3 linked regions of the Oryctolagus cuniculus genome follow. The protein of the gene in region 2 purifies or fractionates together with the protein of the main gene of each other region. This does not show direct contact. Links are inferred from orthologs where the notes say so. Each region holds a gene or a part of one and is shown on either strand. Other genes may lie near its edges. The genes, in order: LIG3, TDP1 and XRCC1.

The links.
Region 1: the proteins of TDP1 (region 2) and LIG3 purify together in Homo sapiens (affinity purification with mass spectrometry; 4 studies listed by BioGRID and IntAct, with this or other methods). This does not show direct contact. The link is inferred for Oryctolagus cuniculus from reciprocal best matches to the Homo sapiens genes TDP1 and LIG3.
Region 3: the proteins of TDP1 (region 2) and XRCC1 purify together in Homo sapiens (affinity purification with mass spectrometry; 4 studies listed by BioGRID and IntAct, with this or other methods). This does not show direct contact. The link is inferred for Oryctolagus cuniculus from reciprocal best matches to the Homo sapiens genes TDP1 and XRCC1.

Annotation. Positions count from the first base shown.
Region 1 is NC_091448.1:39,302,274-39,306,425, forward strand, and holds the start of LIG3 (DNA ligase 3), read right to left. Parts: upstream 2,814-4,152; 5' UTR 2,087-2,813; coding exon 1,432-2,086; intron 1-1,431. Other genes in the region: CCT6B (T-complex protein 1 subunit zeta-2), read left to right, coding at 3,298-3,533. UniProt on the Homo sapiens protein: Isoform 3 functions as a heterodimer with DNA-repair protein XRCC1 in the nucleus and can correct defective DNA strand-break repair and sister chromatid exchange following treatment with ionizing radiation and alkylating agents.
Region 2 is NC_091451.1:35,658,882-35,662,403, reverse strand, and holds part of TDP1 (tyrosyl-DNA phosphodiesterase 1), read right to left. Parts: intron 3,463-3,522; coding exon 3,277-3,462; intron 2,420-3,276; coding exon 2,371-2,419; intron 268-2,370; coding exon 201-267; intron 1-200. UniProt on the Homo sapiens protein: DNA repair enzyme that can remove a variety of covalent adducts from DNA through hydrolysis of a 3'-phosphodiester bond, giving rise to DNA with a free 3' phosphate.
Region 3 is NC_091449.1:12,328,896-12,332,895, reverse strand, and holds the start of XRCC1 (DNA repair protein XRCC1), read right to left. Parts: upstream 2,815-4,000; 5' UTR 2,704-2,814; coding exon 2,653-2,703; intron 2,330-2,652; coding exon 2,237-2,329; intron 1-2,236. Other genes in the region: PINLYP (phospholipase A2 inhibitor and Ly6/PLAUR domain-containing protein), read left to right, coding at 3,833-3,902. UniProt on the Homo sapiens protein: Scaffold protein involved in DNA single-strand break repair by mediating the assembly of DNA break repair protein complexes. Negatively regulates ADP-ribosyltransferase activity of PARP1 during base-excision repair in order to prevent excessive PARP1 activity.

The sequences.
Region 1 (4,152 bases), on a different chromosome or scaffold from region 2:
GTAAGGAAATATGGTTAAAAGGAACAGAACTAGTCTTTGTAATTCTTTCTTACAATTTTATTACTTATAACTATTCTTATGACCCTTCTGAGAGTTTCAATTTATTTCCAAATAAACAGTTAAATAAAGAAAAAGTCTAGGCCGGCGCCACGGCTTACTAGGCTAATCCTCCGCCTAGCGGCGCCGGCACACCGGGTTCTAGTCCCGGTCGGGGCGCCGGATTCTGTCCTGGTTGCCCCTCTTCCAGGCTAGCCCTCTGCTGTGGCCAGGGAGTGCAGTGGAGGATGGTCCAGGTGCTTGGGCCCTGCACCCCATGGGAGACCAGGAAAAGCACCTGGCTCCTGGCTCCTGCCATCGGATCAGCGTGGTGCGCCGGCCGCAGCGCGCTGGCCGCGGCGGCCATTGGAGGGTGAACCAACGGCAAAAGGAAGACCTTTCTCTCTGTCTCTCTCTCTCACTGTCCACTCTGCCTGTCAAAAAAAAAAAAAAAAAAAAAAAAAAAGTCTCGATTCTGAGGCTGGCATTGTGGAATAATGGGTTAAGCTGCCGCCTGCATCCCATATGGGTGCCAATTAGAATCCCAGCTGCTCCACTTCCAATTAGCTCCCTGCTAACATGCCTGGAAAGCAGAGTAAGATAGCCCAAATGCTTGGGCCCCTGCCATTCACATGGGAATCTTTTTTTTAAAAAAAGATTCATTTATTTATTTGTAAGGCAGTGTTACAGAGAGGCAGAGGCAGAGAGAGGTCTTATATTCGCTGGTTTACTCCCCAAATGGCCACAATGGCCAAAGCTGGGCCGATCCAAAGCCAGGAGCCAGGATCCTCTTGCAGGTTTCCCACATGGGTACAAGGGCCCAAGGACTTGGGCTATCCTCCACTGCTTTCCCAGGCCATAGCAGAGAGCTGGTTTGGAAATAGAGCAGCCAGGACTCAAACCTGTGCCAATATGGATGCTGGCACCACAGGCGGTGGCTTTACCTGCTATGCCACAGCACTGGTCCCAGATAAATCTTTAAAAAGAAAAGAAAAAGGTGGGGGGCAGAGAAAGAGGGAGCAAGAGAGATTGTCCACCCACTGGTCCTCTCCCCAAATGGCCAAACAGCCAGGGCAGGGCCAGGCTGAAGTCAGGCGCTTCATCCAGGTCTCTCTACATGGGTGCAGGGTCCTAAGGACTTGGGCCATCTTCTACTGCTTTCCCAGGCACATTAGCAGGGAGCTGAATTGGAAGCAGAGGAGCCAGGACTTAAGCCAGCACTTACAGAGGATGCCAGCCCTGCAGGCCACGGCTTCACCTGCTATGCTATGCCATAGCGCCGGCCCCAAATAAATCAATCTTAAAAAAAAAAAAAAAAAAAGTCTGGACTCTAGGCTTCTCACCCCTTTTCCTCTTTGCCCCAGTAAGCCCAGAAAGCAGTGTTCTCCATCCCACCTGTAATGTGCTGGGTTATCTGCTCCTTCTCATTATCTTCCAGCTCTTCCCAGCCTTCCAGCTCTGTGAGGTCCTCGATTTTTTTCGTGGTGGCCCGGGCCCGCTCCAGCTTCTCAAACATGCATTTAATGTGGTACCACTCTTTCATATCACCTCCGGACTCTGAAAAGGGATTGGGCACCACTTTGCCAATTCGGCAAACGCCCTTTACAATCTTTTCCTTGCATTTTTTGCAGCCAGCTGTGCCACGCTTGGCGTAGTCCACGCAGAACCGTTGCTCAGCCATCTCACAGGGGCCACTGCAGAGTCCCACATGCGACCCTGGCAGGAAAACAAGGCAGGTGGCACGTGCTCTTAGACGACCTTCGCCAAATGATGGAACAGGCTTTCCTCTCGGGAGGAGGCAGCGACCACGGAGCACATCTGTTTCCGACCACCGGCTAAACAGTTTGAGGTCAGGCCAGCGATGCTGTTCTCGGAACAGGCACAGTTCTTTTCGGCCAAGGGCTCGGAGACTTTCTGGGAAGAGGATCTTGAAAGCCACAGTCATGCAGCTGCATGAAAAGGTGAGACACACACACACACGGATATAAATGGGCACCAATGGGGGATGAGGCTTCCAACGTGTCAAAGGCCAGAGTCTTACACAGGCCATGCTGACTAACCACTTTCCCAAGTATTAAAGATTCACCACCTACAGAATAAAGAGTTCTAATTCAGGACAATCCAGTTTCCTAAAGGGTGTTCAATGACCTAACGTATATACGCACATCTAGTAAACCACGAGGAGGAGAATCCAAGCACCATAAAAGCTTTTCTCAAGCCATCAGCAAAATGCGACAATCCTAATGGATGATGACCTTTAAGTATTGTAAGATCCTCAAGGTGTTCTAATTACCAAGGAAAACACACTATATTCATAGGATTTTTAATGCCACGTATAACAGACGTGCCATCCTCAGAAAACAACAAAGCCACTACAGAGACCCTTGCTTTAATCAGAAGCTCTATTTTGAGAGGCAGGAAGCTGAGCCGAGAAGCGGCCTGCCTGGGTCCAGATTCTAGCTCAGCCACTCATTAGCTGTGCGCCCTCGGTGGGTTACTCAAACTTTCAGTTCCTCAGTTTTCGTATCTGTAAACCACGGCCAGTAACTGTCCTAACTGAAGGAGCTCCCGTGCTGAGAGCCCTCGGATCCGCGCTGGGCGCGATGTCCGCTCTTCTCAGAACCAGGACAGCGGCTGCCCGGCACGGCAGGGGCCCCCTACCCGCCACCTCCGCCGGGGAAGCCTGAAGGGACTGCGTAGCAGGAATCCCGGGGACCGACAGATCAGCCCGAATGCGGACGGCCGCTGCACCTGCACCTTCCAGCGGTCGGATTCCCCGCAGCGCCGCGGCAGGGCTATGCCACGACACCGGAAGCGGTCTCCCTGGAGCGCGGCGCTGGGCTTTCTCCGCCGGCTACTCCGCACCTCCTGAGGGGAGCGCCCGCTGTCGCCTCAGCAGTCTCTTACCTCCCCTGACTCTGGGCTTTATTACTTCTCAAACAGGGAAGGGAACTCCTAGCTTCCGGGGAGGCTGGGAGAGTCACAAAGACCGGCTGCTGCAGGCGCCGGTTCCGAAACCCCTGCCCATCTGCGCAAACTCTGAGTTGTGCTGGAGTCGAGGTCCCTCCGTTTCATGACTACCTACATGCCCGCGAGCACCCCAAAGTTTAAGCAGCGCAGAGGGTGAAGTTGCGCAGACCCGCGAGAGGAGCGCAGCAGCAGCTGGGTCTCCACCATGTCGGCGCACAGAGCCACCTGCAGCCCCCGAATCACGGCTCGGGCGAGGCGCGCTCCGGCGGCGCCAGGCCACGAGGAGGCACAATGCAGCCAAGAGAGACAACAGCCCCGCTCCCGCTCCCAACGGCCGGCCGCAACCGACGAGCCGCCGCGGCGCTTTGGGGAAGTGGGCAGGGGCTGCGGGGAGCCAGGCCCCGCGGGCAGGGAGCAGGGCCCCGCGGGGTGGCGGCGGAGAGCGCTCCTCCCGAGGGCCGGGAGCGGCAGAGGCGGCCGAACTCCCGCGCCCACGTCAGCGCCGGGAGCTTGCACAAGCGGCCCAGGTCTCAGGAGGTCCCAGGGCTGAAGGGCAGGCGTGGAAGGAGGGGCCCTCGCCTCTAGCCCGTAGTGGGGGGGGGGGGGGTCCCGGGGGCCGCGAGCCTCCCGTGGGCTCCCGGGGGGCCGCCACGTCACGGAGGGTGTGCCCCCGGGCTCCGCCGGCGGGCGGGGGAGGAGCCGGGGGCTGGCTCCCGGGCCGCGCCGAGCTCGGGCCCCGGCCCGCTTTCCACACCGCGCTGCGCCGATCCTCACCTGCCTCCCCGGCTCCGGCGCTCACCGCAGGCCTCGGGACTGGGAGCGTACAGGCCGCGAGCAGCTCACGACGGTTGGAGTGCCTGTCTCTTTAAATCCGGGTCCTCAAGCTGGAGGCAGCGCGCAGGCGCAAAAGCCCGGGCCAGAGAGCGACGCAACCGGGCCCCGCCCCCGCGTGCCACGTGCGTGGTGGCCGGGTTCCGCCGGCTGTGGTATGGGGGCTGGTGAGGAGCCCCACCGGGTTACACCGCTGGGGTCCCCGATTCCCCCCTGGAGCCAGGGCTCCTGTGGGCCTTAAAGATGCTGGTTGGGGAGTGAGCACGTGGGAGAGCTGCGGGCCGGCAGAGACCGCGTCCCGTAGGCCGTTTTTCC
Region 2 (3,522 bases):
CCCTGTGGTATTAAAAACCTATTCCAAGAACATTTTAAAACCTTGTTTTAAATTATTTCTACCACTAGCATATGTAGATGAAAGAATATAGCTATATTACATAAGGTTCTTTTAAAAAAATGAAAAAAACCACCAGACCGACATAAATAACATTCATATTCCTAAAGAAGCAACAGCAGTATTCTAAACCAATTACTTACTGAAAATAGGAATGCAGCCAATTCTGTTTTTCAGCTGTCTGGATGCTATAGGGAAGAGAGCCCCCAGCTTTTAAAAGAAAAACAAAAAAAATGATAAAAATTAGGAAATATAACTTAAAACTCCCTAAGAAGAAAATCTGTAATAAACATCATGTTGGAAGGTAAACAAAACACCACTGCCATTATTTTATCTTATGGAATAGTTCTTTGAATGAAAATGTCTATATTTGCATTTGGTATGTACTGTTAAAGGGGTTTCCTTTCTCAGGAGTGATAAATATTTAAATAGATGTTTACTATCAAAAAAATACAAGGGTATTTCTAAATCACGTGATGGTGGTAACTTAACAGCTGTAGCAGCAAAGACTGGAGCTGCTGGAAGAGCACTGGTAGGACTGTGGCCCACAATACCCCCGAGGCAGATCACAGACGTGAGTGGGGAGCCTCTCTTTGCCTAGGACCACAACCCTGTTGGGCCGTGCAGGGTGCTACCTCAGTTCTGTCGACTTTACCTGCACACACTGCTGCTTCCAAACAGACTTTGTACTAGCTGAACAGATTCTTATAGAATGCGAGGAGTGGAAACTGAGTTAAAATGTTGAGTAAGTAGCTCAGTTTTTTAAAAAGGAATTTTAAAGGCCTCATTTGTACAAAGGGAATCAAGACAGTTCCAGTGGAAACGTACTTAGAAGCCAATTTCTGTTCCTCTCTGAGAGGAAGAGAACTCCCACTGCAGATGCATCAGTGATTTCCCAGACACGCTCTGGAACCTCTCCACAGTGAGCTACACCCAGAGGGGGCCGTCAGCAACTCCAGTGTATCCAATCAGGTGTCCTATCTCCTACCACAAATGACTATAAACATTCTCAGCTTTAGAACTAGTCATAAAATAGCTTTATTGAAAAACACAAAATTCTTTCCATTAAAAGCACACTTAGAATGGATCCAGCTATTAGAGGTAAAGAATGAAGACAAAAGAAAAACTATCACCACGTCCCAGAGTCTCAGTGAGATAATTTCATATTTGCCATTAAAAGCAACAAATGGGCCCTATATTCCAAACACTACTGATATGTTTCTGGCAGGGCACACTGAGTTCGATAAGCAGTAAGTGAATGTGATAGTCTAATTCAGGGCATTCTGCTTTTAGACACCAGTGAACGTCAGCCCAACACTGCTCTCTCCAAAGGCACACACCATTTGGGCTTTTAGTTAATACATCCTGATTGCACTATCCAGGGTGTTGCTGAATTCCAGATAGAAGTTTAGTGCCTAGTAATGGCACAAAGGAAATGGAGATGAGGTCTCACAGTTGTCTGGCAAAATAATCCTAGGCATCTGCAGATGATGACCTTGACATAATGGACATATGAACAGATTATACCAAAGGAAATACCATGCATAAATTCTGGAACTTGAGAAATGTTCATGGAAAAATGGAATTAAAAGGTCAATTTAGGGGCTGGCACTGTGGCACAGCAGGTTAAGCCACTGTCTGTGACACCAGCATCCCCTATGAGCACAGGTTTAAGTCCCAGCTGCTTTACTTCCAGTCCAGTTCCCTGCTAATGTACCTGGGAAAGCAGTGGACGATGCCCCAAGTATGTGGACCCCTGCCACCCATGAGGGAGACTTGGATGGAGTTTAAGACTCCTAGCTTCAACCTGGCTGTTGTGGTCACTTGGGGAGTAAACCAGTGAATAGAAAATATCTGTCTTTCTAACTCTGTCTTTCAAATAAATGAATAAATCTTTTCTTAAAAAGGTGAAGTTAATTTTGCACTTCATCTCTGTATCAGGAATTTAAATGTGAAAGAACTGTCTAGTTTCTCAGACACAGGCAGGGAGGATGCTAGGAGAGGTAAGAGGAAGGTTAAGTTCGAAATGCTCTGAAGATACTGAATAGTGGGAGAACGAATGTTATTTGGACATCTGGTCTGGGCACCAACTTGCTGGTTACCTTATTAGTGAAAACGAGAAGAGCACTGGTGTACCGCGTGAGCAGCTGTGAAGGTTACACAATACCCCATACTGCCCACCTGTGGAACACAGCAGAGCTCCTATCACCAGGGAACCTTCTGTACATTTCTAATCAATACTGCTAAAAATTTTGCCAGGGCATCTATGGAACATACACAAAAAGCACAAATGAGGGCTTCCCTGATAATTACCAGGATATCCTTCTAAGCTGGTCCGCACATTTTCCACAGAAGGATAGATCTAAAAATAAAAAGAGAAAAAAATTGGAATGTATCATGTTGAAGGAATGATGACCAGCTTTTAGGAAAAATCACTGGGGTGGGCATTTGGCCTAGCGGTTAGGTCACAGTTAAGATGCGTATGTCCCTGTGGAATGCTCTGGCTACTGCTTCTAGCTTCCTGATACCCAGCTCTGGGTACTGATTCCAGCTTCTTGCTAATGAGCACCCTGGGAGGCAGCTCCAGCAGTTGGGTTGCTGCCACCTACATGGGAGATCTGGATGAACCCCGGGATCCTGAGTCTGGCCCTGACCATCACAGGCAACAGGGGACTCAGTCAATGGATGAGACCTCTTCTGTCTCTTGAATAAACAATAAAAAAAATACTTAGTTTAGAAACTTGGAAAATAAGCCTTAGATTTTTAAATGTTCCCATCTTACTGAAGAAACTGAACTTCTAGTAGTAATTAAACTACAGGAAGCACAAATGTATTATATTTTGGTTATTTTTTCTTCTTCTGAAAGGTCAAGTTAGCACTGAATTAAATGCAAAATTAATTATTAATTCCCAGGTCTTTAAATAAATAGTTAACAATACTTGTAACTCTATTGGCCATGTTATGCCAAGTATGGTTTTTCCTTGGTTTGACAACCCCAAAGAATGGTAAATCATAGGCTGGTTTGTGGCTGGCATGGGGTTCCTGCACACACCCCCAGCTCTCAGCACGGATACCGTTGGACGCAAGGGGTGATGCCGGCACACCACTCTTCCCGTCCCCACAATGCAGCACAGCACCTCTCTCTACGACAAGCAGCACTGAGTCTCAGTTCCTCTCCCGGGATAAAAATGAATTAACCTGAGGACGAGGGGAACTCACCAAATGCAGAGGAACGGTGCTTTTCCCTGCAGTCCTGCTTGCCTGCCCCAGGGTCAGCAAACTCTCTTTAAACTCCGAGCAGAGCCACTTTGACTCATCAGCCCCCAAGGAGCCAATGCTAGAAAACTGGCCCACGATGGGCCAGGACTCGGCCTGGGGGACGGACGAGGTGTGTTCTTTCAGAAGCTATGAAAGAAGAAAGGTGAATGCTACAATCACTCAAATCATCTAACAGAAATGCTACAG
Region 3 (4,000 bases), on a different chromosome or scaffold from region 2:
TCAAACAAGTGCCTATATGGGATGCTGGCATTGCAGCCACAACACCAGCACAGCAAGAAAGAGGGAGGGAGGGAGGGAGGGAGGGGGAGAGACAGAGAGAGAGAAAGGGAGGAAGAAAGAGAGAAAGAGAGAGAAAGAGAGAGAGCGAGCTTCCATTCCCTGGTTCACTCCCCAATTGGTCACAGTGGCTGGAGCTGAGCTGATTTGAAGCCAGGAGCCAGGAGCTTCTTCCAGGTCTCCCATGTGGGTGCAGGGGCCCAAGGACCTGGGCCATCTTCCACTGCTTTCCCAGGCCACAGCAGGTAGCTGGATGGGAGGTGGAGCAACCAAGACTCAAAGCAGTGCCCACATGCGATGCTGGCATTGTAGCCACGACGCCAGCCTCCCAGAAAAATAAAACAGCAAAATCAAAAAAGAGCCGTGTGCCACCTCGCTGTCAAATGTTTCTTCCAAAGAACACATGTCCAGTGATACACAGGAGTCGCCTCCGGACGGTGCCCCAGCCAGTCCCACCGGGCCAGGAGTGGCTGACAAAGAGGTTGGAAGTCCCTGCCTGGGAGCAGGTGAGGGGTTGGCAACACAGCTCTCCTGTGGCTGCCACAAACAAGGTGTGTGGGACCGTCACGAGCGGAGGGCGGCGGCCCGGATTGCAACATCCAGGTGTTGCACAACACGGTTTGGAGGAGAAAAGGACGGGGGAGCAGAAAACCCACAGCGGAGTCTCCTGTGGTGGCTTATCAGTCTCTAGGGGAGGACCAAAGCCAGCCCGTGGTGAACTCAGAGTCACCCCAGGGGCTGGCCAACGCCAGACGTGACCAGGTTTTTCCGAAGGTCTCCGATGTGAACAAGTGAACAGCCCAATAACAAGAACAGGACTCCCTCCCCTTACACAAACAGCCACGTGTTGACAGAGCAGGTCCGCAGACGTTATGTCACCAACTGCCACAACAATGCTCGGCTCGCATGCCATTATCCGGGCGCACACATGAGAAAACAGGCTCCAGGATGGCGGCTGCTGCCCGAGGCCACAGCGTGCATGCGTAAGAGGGAGCGCTGCGGAGCCGAGCCCGGGCCCCACGCTGCACCGTCAGCAGCCCGGATCTCCCGCAGTTCTCGGGCCAGCTGCATGACTTCCCTGGGCCTCCGTTTCCACACCTGTGAATTGGGGACAATAACAGACCCTAGGTCCTGGGACTTCTTATGCAACGAGCTAACCCACGTGATGGGCACAGAGCAGGGACTGGCAGGTTGTAGCCCTGAGTGATGCTAGCTCTCATCGCTTTTCTTAGAGGAGGGACTTAGGGGATGCTTAAACTTCCAAAATCAGTCAGAAAATCCGATAGGTGTGCCCTCAGCTGCCATATATATATATATATATATATATATTTTTTTTTTTTTTTTTGACAGGCAGAGTGGACAGTGAGAGAGAGAGACAGAGAGAAAGGTCTTCCTTTTCCGTGGGTTCACCCTCCAATGGCTGCCGCGGCCGGCGCACCGCGCTGATCCGAAGTCAGGAGCCAGGTGCTTCTCCTGGTCTCCCATGGGGTGCAGGGCCCAAGCACTTGGGCCATCCTCCACTGCACTCCCGGGCCACAGCAGAGAGCTGGCCTGGAAGAGGGGCAACGGGGACAGAATCCGGCGCCCCGACCGGGATTAGAACCCGGTGTGCCGGCGCCGCAAGGCGGAGGATTAGCCTAGTGAGCCGCTGCCCTCAGCTGCTTTTTAATTCTCAAGATCTCGTGACCCAAAACTTCTTCTGAAGGATCGAGCAAGACAGAGACCAAGAACACGTTCCGTGTCCAACAGACTCACGGGAGCCTTGTCCCCGGCCCCGAGACCCCTCCACAAATACTATATTCAGAACCAAGGGACGCAATTCAAGATCAAGGGCGCCAGTGTGTGCACGCTGAGCCCACCCACAAAGCTGCCAACCCGAGGCCTGGCCCGGTCCCTGCGCCCGGCGACAAGCGTCCCTACAGGCCTGCAGCTGCCCAAAGCGCACGCAGCCCTCGCCGCCCTCCCTCCCTTCGCCCCCCACGGGAATCTTGCAAGCGCCTCAGGTCGAACCACCCCTCCCGTGGGCGCCCTCTCCCCGCCCCCGCAAGGGCCCCCGGGGACCGCACTGCCCATTTTCCAGGCAAGCAAGCTGAGGCCCCGCTGGGCGAGCGGCTGGACCCGACGGACAGCCCGGGGCCCCCAGCAGAACCGCGGGCCCGCACGGAGGAGGCGGCGTCACCTGCAGGACCACGGAGATGGTCTTCTCCCCCGCCTTGGCGGCCCGCCATTTCCGATAAGTGTCGGCTTTGAGGAGGTTTTCCGCGCAGTGAGTCTGCAGGCGAGAGCCGGAGAGCGGGGTCAGGGGCCGCACGAGGCCGCGGCGAGCCCTCCCACGCCCACCGCGCCCCCAGGCTCCCGCACCCGCAGCTCCACGAGTGGGCTCTCCAAGGAGGCCCCCAAGTCCCCTCCTCCGCGCAAGTGCCCCACTCCCACCCCTCTCCGCAGCTCACCGTCCGCCTCCTGGAAAAACCCCCCTCCCCCACGTCCCGTCTTCAGATTTCCATGAAGTTCCTCTCGCCCCTCCAAAGTTCTGACAGCGTCCCCTCCCCCCTCCATTCCCTGCGACCCCTCCCCCGCCCCACGCCAGTCCCTCACCGAGTCCTGGCTGCTACAGGACACGACATGACGGAGGCGGATCTCCGGCATGTCAACGGCGCGGGCTTAGCCTGGCCGAAGGGATGAAGCGAGTCCGAGTTCGGGGGGCGTGAAGGGGTGCTCCCTGCGCGGGCTGAAGTGCGCACGCGCGCGAAGCTCGGGCCTTTCAAACCGCGGCGCGCGGGCGCTCGCGTCGACACCGCGCATGCCCAGTTGCACCGTTGCGCCGCGTTACCTAGCAACGAGCTTTCCCTCGGGCCCCACCCCTCTCGGGCCCCTACCACTCTCTAGTTCCGCCTCCTGATGACGTAGCCGCTCGGCTTTCTGAGCGCCTAGCAACAGGAGCGGCCTCTGGGATTGGTGCCTAGAAGACCTTCGCGCTTTTCATTGGACGGTGCCGTCAGCGCCCAACCTGAAGCTTAGACGGCCCAGGACCCGAGTGGATTTTTGCAGGGAACCTGGGTCCTAAAGCAATGGCATCGCCTCCACTGGTTCCTGCGGCCGCCCTCGCCGCGCACACACAGTCTCAGCTCTCTCTCGGCCTTGTGCCTGAGCCCAAACCGTACGCACAGCTGCTTGCACGCATGTCTCCAACACGTGGCCCGTGGGCATCTGTCTCCTACCACGCCCGCCTCTGACAGGCACCTCTCTGTTCGGTCCCCTGGAGACCCAGGAGCACAGCCCTGGGCGGGGTCAGAGCTGGACACAAACCAAACACAACAGAGGGAGTGTGTGCCAAGCACGTGAAAGAGAGAAGACAAGGGAGACAGGGCGCCTGGCCCCCGCAGGACGAGCCTGGACACGACGGGCGCGCCCCAGGTCGGGCCCCACCCACGCTGGACGCCTCCTTGGGGAGAGGAGAGGAGACCCAGTCTTTGCAGCGCTTTAGTTTCACGGGGGAATTAAGTGACCCCTATGGGCGGTGCGAAGGTGAGAAGGCAGGGCACTGGGTCCTGGCGGGAGAAGGGGCTGCGAGCCTGGAGTCCCTGGGTCCCGCGGAGGAGGGCGCTGGGGACAAGATGTCCAGGTCTTTGGCTCCGCCTCCCCAGCCTGGAGGCTGCAGAGGCCGGCCCTGGGTTCTGACCTCAGCTGTCTCACCCCAGGGTGAAGGTGGGTCCGGATCCGCCCCTCTTCAGCTTCCTATAAGGGCAGGGGACCCGGGACCTCAGGTTCACACACCATGAGGCCGTCCACAAGACCGGGGCACTTCCTGCTGGCCCTCACGTTGCTCTGCACCCTCCCGGGGCTGGGTAAGTGGCCAGGGACCTGGGCTCCTTCCACCAGGCCCTCCAGGGAGGAACGGGAGGCATACTGGGGGATCCCATCCATGGAGAAGGCATGGGCTACA